Alligator mississippiensis: one gene and its partner. The protein of the gene in region 2 interacts with the protein of the main gene of each other region in a pairwise test. Links are inferred from orthologs where the notes say so. Each region holds a gene or a part of one and is shown on either strand. Other genes may lie near its edges.

The links.
Region 1: the proteins of AQP2 (region 2) and ERG28 interact in binary tests that used the Homo sapiens proteins (3 or more experiments, as listed by UniProt). The link is inferred for Alligator mississippiensis from reciprocal best matches to the Homo sapiens genes AQP2 and ERG28.

What each region holds. Positions count from the first base shown.
Region 1 is NC_081825.1:261,562,915-261,570,714, forward strand, and holds the start of ERG28 (ergosterol biosynthetic protein 28 homolog), read right to left. Parts: upstream 3,150-7,800; 5' UTR 3,078-3,149; intron 2,527-3,077; exon of another isoform or gene 2,297-2,526; 5' UTR 2,279-2,296; coding exon 2,146-2,278; intron 1,579-2,145; coding exon 1,488-1,578; intron 912-1,487; coding exon of another isoform or gene 826-911; intron 1-825. Other genes in the region: tubulin polyglutamylase TTLL5, read left to right, coding at 3,150-3,244, 7,484-7,590.
Region 2 is NC_081838.1:9,968,768-9,977,001, reverse strand, and holds the start of AQP2 (aquaporin-2), read right to left. Parts: upstream 3,180-8,234; 5' UTR 3,035-3,179; coding exon 2,672-3,034; intron 1-2,671. UniProt on the Homo sapiens protein: Forms a water-specific channel that provides the plasma membranes of renal collecting duct with high permeability to water, thereby permitting water to move in the direction of an osmotic gradient. Plays an essential role in renal water homeostasis.

The DNA of each region.
Region 1 (7,800 bases), on a different chromosome or scaffold from region 2:
GAGGAGTATCTGTGGGCATGGGGGAGTGGTGACAACGTGAGGGGCTGTGGGAGCAACTGGTGCTCCATGAAAAGAGAAAAGACACTGATGAGGACAGCCTCTGGGGCCAAGTACAGACAGTCAAAAAGCCTGTGGCTGAATTGATTCAAGCTTCACAGATTAGATTGAACTGATATGCAAGTGAACAGACATTTACTTTCAATTCTGGAAATTCAGCTACTTGCCTGCAGCGGCCCGGGCCAGAAGCCAGGGGGTGCTAGAGCATACCCTGCTTGGCTGGAGCAGACAGCCCACCTACTCTGGGTGGGTGGGTGCAAAATGTCTTGGGATGCTGGAAGACTATGAGTTAACTTGAAATTGGAGGGGCTGGCCAATTCCTGTATCTCATCTGAGGTTTCTACATGGGATCTGCTGCCCTCTAGGGGCCACAACTAAGATTTCCTAGGGACTCAGGAAGGAAAAAATAAAAATCCTAGAAAACAGCTGCCTAGTTTGACCTTCCCACTCTACAGTAACTGTCACTTGCCCCTGACCTTGCCCCTGCTCCTGAAACCACAGACATAACCAGCTGGCCTGACACATCTTGCACAGACACACCAGAAAGCAAACCACCAGCTCTCATCCTCTATCCCAGAAAGCTACCCTTCCAGCATGCCCCATGAATTCAAATGGAAGCCACAGTCAAAAACTCCCTGAAGCAGAGCTGTCACCACATGTGACAGGGGCTGAGCCTGGCTGTTTAACAAATATACAACTGGTAGGCTGCTTCCTCAAGCCAGAGACAAGATACTGCTGCCCCCACCTCTGAGCAATCCAATGATTTACCCAAACATACAACCAAGGACATGCCCTCTTGAGACCCAGCCAGGTGCATCATTCTACAAGCCATGTGATCCTGAATAGAGCTGCCACTGGAAAAGAAACAACATGTCTCAGTCTGGTGGTGATGGGGCTAAGCACCCTGCAAGGAGAGCATCAGAAATCTTGTATGGCTTAACAGGCTGCATCAGATCCAATAATTACCTGCCTGATCTGAGACGTGTTCAAGTGAACAGTCTCTCCCCTCACTTTTTAAAAGGAGAGGCAATTAAACACCCTGCCTATACATCCTGACTTCCTCTTTGATGCTTTAAGGAATGCCTTTAACCCAGGGGCAGCCAATTATTTTGGGCAGAGGGCCTCTTACTGAGTTTTGGCAAGCCATTGAGGCCCGCATGATAGGCAGCCAGGGGCAGATAAATATTAAATTTTCTAAATTTTTTAGGGGCCCCGTGGGCCGGACAGAATGGCCTGGTGGGCTGCATCCAGCCCCAGGCCGCATTTTGCCCACCCCTGCTTTAACCCCAAGAGCTGTCCAGTAAAGTGCTCAACTCCCTGCCTTTACTCAAGCTGCTCCACAAGAGGACAGTTAGGAGCTGTTATGGAATGGTAAGAGTGCAATGTAGGCAACAAGGGACACCCCCTCCTCTGATGTTTCCCTTGCATACGTCTTGTTGCGGATGTCTACGGCACAGGCACAACGAATCACTGATGCAAGCAGGGTCCAGATGCCAAAGGTCCGAGCCTGAAGCCCATTCACTGTGCAAAGAAGAAAAGGGAATGGATAAAGAACAAGTATTTTCCTTCCCAGGAATCAGCCTCTCCCCAGGTTGGGCCAAGCAACGCACAAGATCTCCTAGCTAGTGTCCTCACATTCAAAGCATGCAGGAGGAAGCAACGAGCTCAGAGATGATGAAAAGGCTGTTGAGTGGGTGTTTCCGGAGCTGCTATGAATCCAAGCCCCCCTCCTCTGCCAGCTAGAGACATCAAGGAGGGAAACGGGCAGAGGTGGCTTGAATGCCAAGAGGATCACCAAGGTAACAGTGCGCTGCTGCCCAGCAACACTGCTTGGCGACAGCAGCGGCCACCTTTGCAGGCCGGGCGAGTTGTACCTACTGCCCCCCCACCCAGGTGCAGGCAGTGGTCAGCAGGCCACAGAGGGGTCTGTGAGAGAAGGAATGGGGTGGGGCTGGCGCTCTCTGCAGAGGCACAGGAGGACACGAGCCAGCGGCTCCTAGAAGGACGAGCGTGGGGCTGGAGTGCCTGGGAGCCCGTGGGAGAGGCAGGCCCAGCCCCGGAGGAGAAGGGGCACCCGGGGCTGCTCACCCAGGCTGGGCGCGTCCGTGTACAGCTTCTCGGACAGAAAGCCGTGGTCACGGAAGCTCTGCAGCGTGTTCCCCAGCGCCACGATGGACACCATCACCAGCCAGCTGCGCAGCACGTTCAGAAAGCGGCTCATCCCTGTGCCCGCGGCCGCCTGCTCGGGGACACGGCAGAGGTCGAAGCTCAGCGCCACTTGGAGCCTGTTCTCCTCTTCGCCCCGCACGCCGGAGCTGCCCAGGGCTGCGGCGGGCAGGGAGACCACGCGGGGCCGCCCAGCAGCTCCAGGCCAGGGCAGCGCCGGCTAATGCCGCGCTGAGCCCGTGAGGCCAGGCCCTGGCGGCGCGGCGCGGCACGGCACGGCACGGCCCAGCCCGCCCGCTGCCCTCGCACCTGCTCCGGGCCCCACCGCACCTGCCACTCTTTGCTCCTCGCCCCCCGGGCCCCTGCTTCTTGATTGGCTCCTGCCCCTTTTCTGATTGGCTTCGCGGGCTCGCCTCAACTCACACGCCAGCGCCCTGTCCCAATCAAATGCAGCAACGCAAGGGGCCCCACCCCTCACGCTCGGTGACGTCAGGGGCGGTGTCCTCCCCTCCCCTCCCCTCCCTGTGCTCCGGCCGTGTCTCGCCGCCATCTTGGAAGAGGCGGAAGCGCCAGTTTCGCGCGCGCGCTCAGCAGAGGGCGTGGAACAGCACTGTTTCCGCCTGCGCGGCAGGAGCCAATGAGGGCGTCGCGCTCGCGTCTGCGCAGTAGCTGGTGGAGGGAAAGGGGGGGAGCGGTTGCCTGTTGGTTGTTGTAGTAACTGGGGAAGCGCTGGCCGGAGTCGCGTCCTCCGAGACCGCCCCGCCGCGCGCGGGGACATGAGGCAGCAGGTGTGGGCCCGCGGGGCGGGGGCGGCCCACTCGCGCGCGCGCCCCCCCCGGCTCCGCCCCGCTTACCTAGCTCCGTGCCCGCAGGTGGCCGCCGGGGGCAGCGCGCCGACGGGGGCCGCATGAGCGCGGCCGCAGGAGATGCCCGCGGGGATGGCGCGCGACCTGGAAGAGACCGGCTCGTCCTCGTCCTCCTCCAAGGAGGAGGAGGCGGCGGCGGCGGCGGCGGCGCCGGAGTAAGTAGCTCCGGGCTCCCGCAGCAGATCCTGGGCGGGGTCCCTCTCTCCCGGAGCGGGAGGGTCTCGGAGCCCGGCCCGCCCTGTGTTCCCTCCCTCTCGCGCTTCTGCCCGGGTTCAGGCTCGCTGCACGCTCCCCGTGTCCCCCCGCTGCCAGTCCTGCTCAGTGGCACTTGCTCGGGTCCTTACCTGCCCCCCCGGCTGCGCTCTCCCGTCCTCCGCCCATGTCTGGATGACCGGGATGGGGGCGGGGAGCAGCGATGCTTCTGCTCAGCTCCAGTACCTCCTCAGCCCCTTTGCCTCAGCGGTCTCCTTTCCGAGGTGCTGCTCCTGTTTCTGCACTGACAGTGGGTTTGTTTCCTCTGCTCAGGCCACGCTCTAGCTCCTCATGTCTGTGACCTCCAGAGTCTCAAGGAGACACAGCCCCCACAAGCAGACCCAGCAAAGACTCCCTTGGAGTTGCTTGTTCTCATATGTGCCAGTCTAGGACTAGAAGGGCCCAGGGCTGCCCCCTTTAGCCTGGCTGTGTCTGGGCACATTGCACCTTGCAACCAAAGGTCATTCTGGACATGAGTGACAGTTGCCAGAAGGATTGTATGAGTCCTGCTGGCCTTGCTGCAAATCCCTCAGGGCAGGCTTAACCCAAAGCCCCTTCCTGCTGCCTCGGCTCATTTCCCACTTACATAAGGTCCTAGTCTGTGTTTTAGGCACTGGAATCACTTGGGGTTTGGTGTGGCTGCACCAGCCGCGTGGCCTTAGGTGACTAGTTGAACTATACCTGAGGCCAGGACTTTAGGAGTGTGCTGGGAGGATTGTGGGGGCAGTAGGGACTGCTGTGGAGTGGATTTGGTGCAGGGGCAAAGGGAAGGATAGCTTTTCTTTAGCAACAGGAGCTATTTCCTTGCATCTTCAGTAGTTACATGTGGGAAAAAATGCTCTCCCATAGCGTGCCCCAAGGGGAAGATTTTCCTTATTAGCCCTGGTCCCAGGAATGTGCCCTATACAAGTACTTTCTTGTCTACTCCTGCCCAGACATGCAAAGGTGGAGTCTTCACAGGTGCCTCTCTGTAAGTTGTTGTACTAGGTGTAGAAAAGCATATTACTAGAATACATTTTTAAGTGTTTATTGCAGGTATTTATTGCAGCATCAACCCATCTTTGGCCATAGTCTGCCACGAAACCCATGACTCCCCTTCACCTGATCAAAGGTGACAAAAGATTAAGAAGCGGGGATGGAAGGAGGTGCAGGCTGTAGGGTCAAAACATCTGGGCGAGAGCACTGAGCAACTTCCAGAGGTGTCTGTGCCACTTCTGCACCAAGTGTGGGAGAACTGCTGCAAAGTCATTCCTGGTCAGTGTGGGCCAAGCCCCAGGAATTAGACACTGTAGCCAGTTTAGTGTGGTTTTCAGAGGTTCTGGGAGCACATTTAGGCTTTCTCTCTTAGGCATGCTATTGGTACAAGTTCAGGTATGTATGAAACTGGCTACACAGCCTCAGTTCTGGGCTGTTGGCCGGGGTTGGGGAGGGCAGAGAACTGCATTGAAGCTGCTAAATTCTTTCATGTTGGTTGAATGGAACGAGGAGGTTTGCTATCTATTTGGTCTGGATTTGAAGTGGCAATTTGAGTTGAGAAGCCTCATTCCCATCCCATTTTGCTGAACTTGAAGGACTTAAAGGAACTGAAGGTAAATGTTTCCAGTACCTATTAGGTGAGGCTCCTGAGCAAATGGTAGTGCTTGTGCTAGAGCACTAATACGAACTTGAAATATACTCTTCCCCCAACCTAATGAATTACAGCCTGGTACAGCAGCCTAGAGAACTCCAGCCAGCATCTGCTGCAACCTTGTCAGCTTAAACTCTTGGTTCTAGCCTTGTATGCTGGAGCTGTTAGTAAGAGAAAAAACCAGGGAACATTTCTTTAGCAAAATTCTGGAGAAGCTTCAGGAAAGAACTCTGCTTGCTCATCCTCTGTGTACATCTGTCTCTTTCTTTTGATTGACCCATGTAGATTTAGAGAAGTTCCCCCCTGCTTTGGTTTTTGCTTTTGTCATTCTCCTCATGCTTCCATTTCTCTGAGCAGTAAGTAATAAAAACTCTGAGCTTTGCTTGCTTAAAGCAACAGGTTTGTTGTCTGTGGTCTCAAAGTTTTAAGCAGTGGATTCTAATAGGGATGTGTGAAATTTCACCAAGTGTTTCGTTTTGATGCGTTTTGAGCTCGAAACAGCAAAATCAAAATGAAACAAAAAGCTTTGAAATGAAATGAGGGGACTTGAAACATTTTGAAACTTTCAAAACATTTTGAGTTTTGAAGCAGCCTGGTGGTGGGAGGCAGGGGAGAGCCAGGGATGTGCTCTGAGTGGCTCTGCAGCACCATAGAGCTCAGCCCGATGGAGAGTGCAGTCCTGGCTTTCCCTCCCTGCCTTTCGCCGCTGGGCTGAGTTCTGTAGGGCTGGCGGAGCTGGTCAGAGCACAGCCCTGGCTATCCCTGCCTCTTGCCACCAGGTTGCGCTCCAAGTGGCTCCGCAGCCCCATGGAGCTCAGCTGGGTGATGGGATGCGGAGCGCAGCCCTGGCTCTGCCCACCTTCCGCCATGGGGTTGAGCTCCAATGGGGCCGTGGAGCCCCACGGAACTCAGCCTGGCAGCGGGAGGTGGAGTGCAGCCCTGGCTCTCCCCACCTCCTGCAGCCGGGCTGCGCTTCGAGTGGCTCTGCAGCCCCATGGAGCTCAGCCCGGTGGTGGGAGCTGAAGTACAGCCCTGGCTCTCCCCACATCCTGGTTGCGCTCCAAGCAGCTCCACAATCCCATGGAGCTTAGCCCAATGATGGGAGGTGGGAGAGTTTTATGAGGTTTAGAAAGCTTCCAATTAGGGTACCCTTGAGTTTCTCTATGCACGTGCATTTTGTGCGAATACACTTATATGCTATGACTTTATCTATAAAAGAAACTTGCTTTGTGTGAGAGAAATTCAATTGTATGTGAAGGAGCATGCAACGTGGCTATGCAGTGATGTGAGTGAAGCATTGTGGGAGGGTACGTGAGGCAGGTATGCAACGCCATCATGCACTTGCCTGTCTCGCATCGTCCATTGTTCCATGCAGTACTATGCTACTTGCACTCATATTGTGGTGCATCTATTTGCTGTTATTATTGAATTTGGTGAAATGTCATCTAAGTGACCTTCTAGTGTATCTCCTAACCCCCCTCCTGAGTTAGCCATGAAGCGAAAAAGGAGGCTGTTACATATGCCTTTTAACTGCATGTAATATTGGATTTGCTTTATGCAAGGTTTTTTTGGACTGCAACCCTTGCATAAAGAGAGACCTGAGTGTATTCATCTTTTGCTTTTTTTCCCCCTTGCTAAGCTGAAAGTCAAGAGTATTTTTTTTGTGCAGAAACTAAAAGAAAATCCTAAACATTCCTTAAATGCCCCGAGAGCAGAAGCGGGACTCTGACATGCAGCTGAAATGAAGAGTGTATAGTGTGCACACAAACTGTGTAGAGCTGGATTAAGTTGAATAGATTGGAGCCATTCTTTTTAACAGACTCATGTTCAAAGTGTGCAGTGCTTTGATCTAGATGCATCATTGCATTCTGGGACCTGCAGCTGCCACAGGTTCTGGGCTGCATGTTGTTTTGGAATATACCTATTGTATAGGTTGATGTGTGGTTTTTATTTTTGTTTTTTGTGGTTTTTTGTGGTTAGATTCTGAACCTGCACTGCCTGCTTGAAGGCTGCCACACTTACTTCAGAGTCCAAGGGTTAAACCATATTCCAGTGCACTGATATATAATCCTTAAACTGGGGAGTGGCACTGTGTTTTCTGGGGGTTGCTTAGGGTGAGAGTGTGTTTCCTGGGACTAGGACTATATATTCTCCTGTCCTTAATCTTGAATGATCTCAGGATGTGAAAGTTGTTAACACCTGTAGCATTGAAACTTCAGGGGTCCTCTCAAGAGTCATGCTGTTTGCTTGACCATTTAAATCAATACAGATCAGATGGAATCCCCAGTTGAATGGTCTGCTTAGTACAAAGGGAAGATGATTTTGAAGGTACCATACATAGCTGAGTACTTTTAAAATAGCCCACAGGTACATCCAACCTGAAGTCTAATATGCAAGCCTAGAATTGAATAGCTTGATGTGAGGAGGTAGCTGGGATATTTCTGGAGTGTGTAACCCACTGTGTGCGCATGAAGCTTGACTTCTTTTTTGTGTTAATCATCTCTTGCTATTACAGGGAACACCCATGCATCATGTGGACTGGTGGCTGCAGGCGGATCCCCATCTTAGTGTTTCATGCAGAAGCTATTCTGACCAATGAGAGCTACCTCCGTCTGATTGGAGGTGGGTCTGATCACCACCCTATGCTTACTCAATGCCTGCTGCTGGGAGCAGTGGGGCATTCTTCAGGCAAAAGGTTTCCTCCTCTCTGACAGCAAAAAGAAGCACTACTGAAAGGGATACTTTGGTATTGTTGGTAGAACTTTTTTTGTGCACTCTAGCATTGGAGCCATGCACCTTGTTTGTGTTGTGGAGCACAACTGTTCTTATCTT
Region 2 (8,234 bases):
TGGACAAAGTTAACCCAGTTTAAGTGCTTGTGTCATCCTTCTCCTACTCGTTTACACCAGTGTAAGTCTGCTTACATCAGCATCGACAGTGCATTTATCTGCATCCTTTGTGTTTGAGAAAAAAAGAAATCAGGTCTTTGGAAATCCCACTTTTATTTTGTCGTCATGTGAAAAAATCACCAATTCTCTCTTTCATAAACTGGGACACATGCATTGCACCTCGAGTGGAGGCTTTCCAGTAAAGATTTCCAGCAATTGCTTCCCAGATTAAACTGAATCTGACCTTGCTTTGAGATAACAACCCTGTTGCAGAGCTTGATTTTTTTCTCTTTTAATCCCATAGAACCAGCAGCACCACTGGATATGGCTGGTTAAGTCAGTAATTTGTGGTGCCAGTGGTGCTTTGAGTCATGCTCGAGATGTTATCTAGGTGCTGCTTTCCCTGCTGGAGCCTGAGATGTACCTTTTTGAACACCGAGGGTTTATGCAGATGTTCTTGCAACCACTTCACCTCTTTATCTGCCAAGAAAGCTGATCTCAGCCATGCTTGTGGAGATCCCAAGGCTTTCATAATTTCATAGTTGTTAGGGCTTGGAAGGGAAGTACTGCTTAGTGCAGTAATTCTGGATTAATACCAATGGAAATGAGTCTGGGTCTATAATAGACTTTTTACCAACTGTTAGTCAGGAGGTATAATGCCCCCCAAATAATTATATTGGTAACTCCCTTACTGAGAATGCAAGTTTATTGGTGTAAAGATTCAGCAAGGATTGGGAAGAGCTGGCTTCCCAGAGCTCACCGGTGTGTCTGCTGTACAAGCCTTAGCCGTAAGCATCCTGATCTGGCTGACTTCTAAGGATACAGCCCAGTGAGCACCAATGTAGCACTCACAAGCAATTAAAAGGGGATGTTAGCTCTATTTCTGTGAATTAAACAATTTAGGGATGCTAAAAGCTTTCAAGCATTAGTGACCTGGATTCAATTCAAATAGCTAGATCTCTGCAAAGATACAAGGTCTGCTTCTACTTGCCCTGAACCTTGTGCAATCCTTGCCATTCTGTGAAAGAGTATAAAGGTTTCACTGACTCAGACGGTGGAGCCAGCTAATGCAAACTAAACCCAGCGGGCCAAGCGTCTTCTACTGCGGCCCCTTTACACCACTCTAGCAACCTAAAGGGGACATAAAGTGGTTACAAAGGTAGTTGCCTCTCACTTTAAAGTCCCTTTGCTGTCAGAGGGAGGGTTATAGGGGGTGCTGAGTATAAAAGGAGGATCTGGCTTCATGGCATCTGGCCTTGGACATCTTTCTACCTGTGTAAACGGTTCCACAAGGGAGATGGCAAAAGAGATTTTTAAAAAAAATTGAATTTGTATCTGAGGCCAAATTAGGCAAAACTAATTCTAAATCCAAGTGTTGAACAACCTGGAGTCAAGAGACTCGAGGGAGGGGGGGAGGGAGGCTGCCATGTTAATGGTAGTTCAGCGGGACATCCTCATCCCAACTCCTTGGGTTCCCTGATTTTCATGCCTCTAAGTCAAAGCTTTCAGGATTGCCTCCCTATTCACTCCTGTGGTTTTGTTGTTGCACCATGTCTGATCCCAGAGTCCAGTCTTAGTAATGGGAGGGAAGCTAACTGATGGCATTGCCAGGGCAGACATGGCCATTGGGTACTGTGAGAAACTAGAACAGGACAAAGTAAGTGGGGATTATCTGATGAGAAGCACCGATTACATTAAAAACAAAACCCAAAAAACCTGCCCTGCTAGCCCTGGTGCCAAGGAGCCTGGCATGGCACCAGCAGCCTGAAAACACTGGCAGAACATCACATGGTGGAGAGGCATGTTTCCACACCAAAGCTGCACACACACAGATGGCTGAGGCTGGAGGAGGGGAGTCCACAGAAGTCAGGATGTTCCCAGGGTTACATTAAGCCAGCCGTTCTAGGAATGGCCACGTGTGTCACTGACAATCAGAAAGTGGCATTTTATAGGTGTCAGTTCCCTGGGCCGTGGTTGGTGGCACTGTCCTAGTGATCAGAGTAAGGGGGGACAGGGGGACAGGGCTTATGGGGGGCTGTTCCCATGTTTTCTCTGAAAGCAAACGGAGCCAGATCATGTGCCAGCTATTAGCTGCCTCGGTGTGATCTTATTCCACCCTGCTTGAGTCCCTGAAAAACAGGCCTTGCGAAACATGGGTGGATCCTCCTATTCCTCGTTGCTTCGTGTGATGTAACGTGATGGTGCGTTACAAAACTAGGCACTTTGATGTTCTTGTCAGGGGATGAGCCAGGTACAATATAGGACTGCATTCAGGTGCCTAATTGCTGGAGGAGGATTTGGCCCATGGTGTATGAATGGAGCACAGCACTGGGTGGCAGGACTGATTTCTAATCCTAGCACTAGGAGGGAGTACGGCTGAGCAAGGAGAACTTCAAGCCGGGACTCCTGGGTTTTGTTCCCCTTGCTAGACGGGAGTGGGGTCTTGCAGCTTGAGCACAGGGCAGGGTGGCAGGACACATGGGCTCTAATCCCCACCGCCAGGACTCCTGTATTCTGCTTGCAGCTATCTATGTCCTCCCTTTGCCTCTCCCATCTTCCCTAAGCCCCCAACCCCGACCCCCCCTTCCTGTACCCCTGAAAGGTCCCACGCTGGCACTGGCACGGTCCTTACCTTGTTGATGGCCAGGTTTCCTCGGATGGCTGGAGGGGTGATCTCGTGCAAGATAGCTGCCCCAGCAACCCCTCCCAGGATCTGGGCCACCACGTAGAAGACAGCCCTGAGGAAGGAGATGTGCGAGCCGACGAGGCAAGCAACCGTCACGGCTGGGTTGATGTGGGCCCCGCTGACGTGCCCCAGGGTCTGGACCAGCGTGGCGATAGCCAAGCCGAAAGCCAGCGAGATTTGCAGGATGGTTGGGAGAGACAAGGGCCAGCTGAGGGCAGAGCCCAGGCCGAAGAATATAAAGAGTAGGGTGGCTATGAACTCGGCAAAGACGGCGCGGGTGAAGGCTACGGAGCGGAGTTCCCACATCATGAGGCGACCAGTGCTGGGGCTCAGAAGACCTACTCTACCAGCTGCTTCTCTTGGCAGCGATCCCTGCTCCTGTGGCTGCTCCCTGCAAGGATGCTAGGGTGCCAGATAGATGTATATATATGCTGAAAATCCAGGGATCTCCTGCTGACAGAGGTGGGGCCCAGGGCTTAGGAAACCTGATGCTTTATCGTCCTTGTTCCAGTTGACGAGGCTTCAGACCCTGCCCCCTCTATTAAGTGGGGAATGTGGCATGTGCCAGCCTCGGGAGCCCATACATTAACTTGGAGATGTCCGATAAAGCGCTGGTCTGAGCTGCAACTTCCCCTTTCCTCAATGCCATTTTAAAAGGTCCCTAATCTTCGGTCATTTTTTTTTCTCCTCTCCCTCCATCCCACCATCATTGCAACAGGGAGAGGATAGTAAGTCAGTGAGGCTCTGGGGATTGATCTGAGTCAGAAATCTGTATTTGCTCAACCTGAAACTGCAGGACTTTGTCTGTCCATCTGTCTTGTCTGGCATCCAGCTGGAGCGGACTTTGGGGTCCTGATGTCTTGGGTAAAACCTTCAGGCCCAGCTCTGACCATGACATGAAATAGCTATAGCTGTTTTAAATTTTGGAGGCAGGGGTTGAATTCTTCACCTCTGTACTTCTAGAGGGTTTTTTTTTCCCCTTGAATCCTGTATTCGAATACAAGTAGAATGGATCATAGCAGGCATTCGTGTATCAAATAGACTAATAGCTGTATGAATAGTTAGGCATGGCTTCTGGTCTCTTCTCAGGAGAGAGAGAGAGAGATTTAGATGGTTGCAAAGCCTGCAGCAGGCAGGGCTTGCTGTTGGATAAAATGGGGTGGGGGCACTGAATCCAGGGTCTTAACAGGACTGTGAGCGCATGAGCCCAGGAGTGCAGAGGCCAGGAAGCCTGCAAGTCAGAAATGCAAGGTGCATTGGTAGTGCTCTGTGGAATCGAGCCCAGGATTGGAATAAGAGGCAGGGGCACATCTACACATGCAATTATTTGACACAATAAACGTCAGTGCAGCGTTCACGTGTTTATACGTGTGCCCGGGACTGCTGCATGTTGAGCCGGGGTGGCACAGCGCTGGCTGGCAGGGAGCCTGGGGGTCAGCGGCTCCACCCCACCTCAACGTGCTGCAAAGGACGTGGCTGGGGCACGAGGTTGCTCAAGTGTGGGGCTAGCCAATAGGCAGCCCTGCACTTGTAGTATCCTCGTGCCCCAGCCGGTCCTGGTCACTGTTTACACGTGCGCCGCGGTGAAGTCAATAAGTCTGCCATAGAATAGCACTTGTGTTGGGCAGTACTATCCTATGGCAGAGTGAATTAGTTTCCTCTGGCCTAATAGCACTGCTTGTGTAGACAGTGATGTTTTACTGCAGAGCTAATTAGGCAGCTCCACAGTAAGTGTAGATGCACCCAGGGGCATGCACTGTGGGTGGGATGTGGGAGACCAGCATTAGGATACGATAGAGCTGTAGATTAGGACTGAATTGCATGAGCATGGATCCTTTTGCCTATAGCACCGGAAGAGAGCTGGAATTAGAGTGAATTGCTCCAGACCCATCACTGTGCCGGCCTGAAGAGTGCTGCAGAGAGAGAGATCCCTATGAACTCACTGGGGCTTGATCCAGCAGGTCACCATAGTATATCTAGACAAGGAAGCTCTGTCCCAGATTGCCCCTTGGCGTAGTGGATCAAATGTACCAAGGAGAAGCAGGAACCAAGCAATGTTCCTGCTTCTCCCAGTGGTCAGTGCTAGAGGGTCTGCTGTTTCATAATTTCATAGATGTTAGGGCCTGCAAGGGACCTGACAGATCATCCGGTCCAGCCCCCCTGCACTTGTGCGATTATTTTTCCTGGGCTGCCTCCATTTGACTTTTTGATCCCCAGCAAGTGGTGCCACAAAAATGTCTTGCTGTAGCTCCAAAGGCATGAGTCAAAACTGTGCTTGTGCCAAAGGTTGCTTGTGCCATCTGAGCTGAAAATGGGAGCCAGGTCATTTGGGCTGGAGAGTGCAAGGTGGTCAGAGTTGGTGCTAGACACTTTGCTCCATTGTATGCTGCGGGCTACGCAAATCAGCATGCTTTAGTCATGAGAGGCACAGGCAGACCCTCTGCCTCTTTGAATATGTCTTCAAGGACAGGTGATCCCATCGTCTCTGGAGTTTTAAACCTTCCTGCTGTAGGCAGTCACAGGTGACTGGACCCATGCTGCGGCTATCAGAGATTCCTCTAAACTGTTTGAATCTCTTGGGTCTGGAGGAATAGTATGGAAATATCACATGGATAACCTTTCCCAGGAGTCTCCTCGCACTTCAAGCTGATGGCTCAGCCAGAGGTACTTTAAAAAAAGGCTCTCCTTCCCTGAAACACAAAAGAAAAAGAAAATTCAGCAAAAAATTGTGGGCCAGTTTGGCTACAGACCCGCGTTTCCTCTTCTGCGGCTCACTGACAACGTACTGGGCCATGTGGTGATGAAACTGGTATGATTTGTCATGTCGACAGATGCGTTTGGAATGACTTGATTTGTGGGAAACATTGATTTCATATGAATCATTTTTCATGATCAGGTTTCTAAAATTGCAAGGAGACAGAAGGAAGATCTGAGAAGAAATACAGCCTGGGCTGGTTTCAAGGTGAGATGGTTGGTAATGCCTTAAGGTGGAATCACTGGAGTGGAGTCCAAAGATGTAAGCTGAATGCTTAACTCTTCAGCTGTTTTCCTGGTTGTTCGTTGATGGACAGGGACAGTAATACTGACCTACCTGAAGGCTCATGAGGATGCATTAATTAACACTTATGAGATGCTCGGATCATACAACAGGAGGTAGAGGAAGAACAGACTTTGGGGTAGAGGCCTGCCATGAATGCTGGGAAACCTGGTTCAATTTCCTTCTCTGCTACAGACTTCCTATGTGACCTTGGGCCAGTCATGTAGTCTCCCTTAGCCCTGATGTTGGAGTCTATAAAATGGGAGTAATAGCAGCACCATACTTCACTGACTATAGGGAGGCTAGATATAGCAAAGTATGCAAGGTATTGGATGTTACAGTGATGGGGGGACCACATGAGTACATAGACAGACACGGACAAGGCAGGTTCCTAGAGACTTCCTGTACTTCTAAGAACTTAGCATTACTCAGGAAATGCTAATCTGGGATGTTGCTAAGAATGAATGTGATATTATTAAACTCAGCAATTACACAGAATCAGTAGCCAGTGTGATTAATCACTATTACTAGATAGCCAAAGGTAACACTAGTCAAGAAGAACTCATTAAGCAAAAGTGAGACAGGATTACAGATTGTAGAAGGGGTGGGGAGGGTGAAACTGAGAAACAGAGAAGGAAACTTCCCCAAAGTTATTTGGTTTTGATCCCTTTTCACCAGGTCTACTGGCCTCCCCATCCTACACTGCCTGCCTTGCATTTGAGAGCTGGGGGGATGTTAAATCCTTGTCTGGAGGTCATGGAGATAGTACTGGAGGCTACAGTACACACTGCATGGCCCTGTAGTTGGTACCAGGAAAGGTAAAACCATCTGCAGTTCAGAACAAGGTTGTCCCACTGCACCGGGGTGGGCAAAATATGGCCCCCGGGCCAGATCTGGTCTGCAGAGGGACTTTGTCTGGTCTGCAGTGGGTTTCTCAGTCTCGCCTGGCCCAGGCACCAACCAGCCCATTGACAAGTCCCACCACCCCTGGGCGTGCAGCGGGGCTGGGTTGGCTCTGTGGCTGGACTTCATTTTCCGGCAGCCCTGATAGCAGCAGCTCCTTCTGGCTGCCCCCACCAGCCCCAGCCCCACGGAAACCGGCTTGGACCTATGCGGGCAGGACCCAAGCCCCGGGCTGAGCACACAGCCCCAGCGCTGGCCCCGGCCCACCCCACCCCATGCGGGGAGTCAGGGTCCGTACAGCGCCCACTCCAGACCTGCCCGCCCTGGCCATGACAAGAGGGGGTGGCGGTGGGCACTGGGCAGAAGCTGCTGTTGGGTGCAGGTGAAAAGCGGGACCTGGCAGTGGGCAGTGGCTGGAAAGAGGCATAGGACAGCCCCAGCGTGGGCTCCGAGTGGCAGCAGCAAGAAGGGCCCAGCAGCAGCGATGGGGCAGCGGTTGCACCCGCTGCCAGGTTCTGCTTTTTCGCCGCGCTCAGGAGCAGCTTCTGCCGGCCATCACTGCTCATTGTGGCTGGGGCAGGTGGGTCCAGAGCAGGTGCTCCAGGGACCCATCAGCTTCTTCCTGGATGATACCATTGCCTCCATGCCTAGCTCATTGCCACCGAAGCCCCCTGCTCAGGGTAGAAGGACAGCTTGGAAGTGGCGCTGAACTCTCTCCAATTTGTCCACATCCTTTCTGTAGTGGGGGGCCCACAACTGGACACAGGACTCCAGATGTGGCCTCACCAGTGCTGAATAGAGGGAAATAATCACTTCCCTTGATCTGCTGGCAGTGCTTCTACCAGTGCAGCCCAGGATGCCATTAGCCTTCTTGGCAAAAAGGGCACACTGCTGGATCATATTCAACTTCTTGTCCACTGTGACCCCCAGGTGCTTTTCTGCAGAGCTGCTGCCCACCCAGTCAGCCCCCAGCCTGCACCGGTGCATGGGATTGTTCTGTCCTAAGTGCAAGACTTATCGCTTGTCCTTGTTGAACCTTGTGAGATTTCTTTTGGCCCAATCCTCCAATGTATCTAGGTCACTCTGAATCTTAGCCCTATCTGCTAGCATATCTATTACTCCGCCCAGCTTGGTGTCATCACAAACTTCTTTAGGATGCATTGTCCAGATTGTTAATGAAGATATTGAACAAAAGTGGCCCCAGGGACACTCCGTTTGATAACTGGCTGCCAGCTAGACATTGAGCCATTGATTACTACCCGCTGAGCCCAACGATCCAGCCAAGTTTTTTTCTACCTTACAGTCTGTTCATCCAACCCATACTTCCTCAGCTTGCTGGCAAGAATGCTATCAAATGCCTTACTAAAGGCAAAGTGGCCTAATCTTCAGTAAAGCTTACTGTGGCCTCATAGCATTGCATGTGTAGATGATGACACTTTACTCTGCAGCTAATTAGTCTACTCCACAGGTAAGTGCATGTATAGATATGGCCCCTGTGTAGTTAAGAGACCAGTATACCTTTGGACTACTGGGCAGGCATTAGACCGCTGTAGGTAGGTCAGCTGAGTT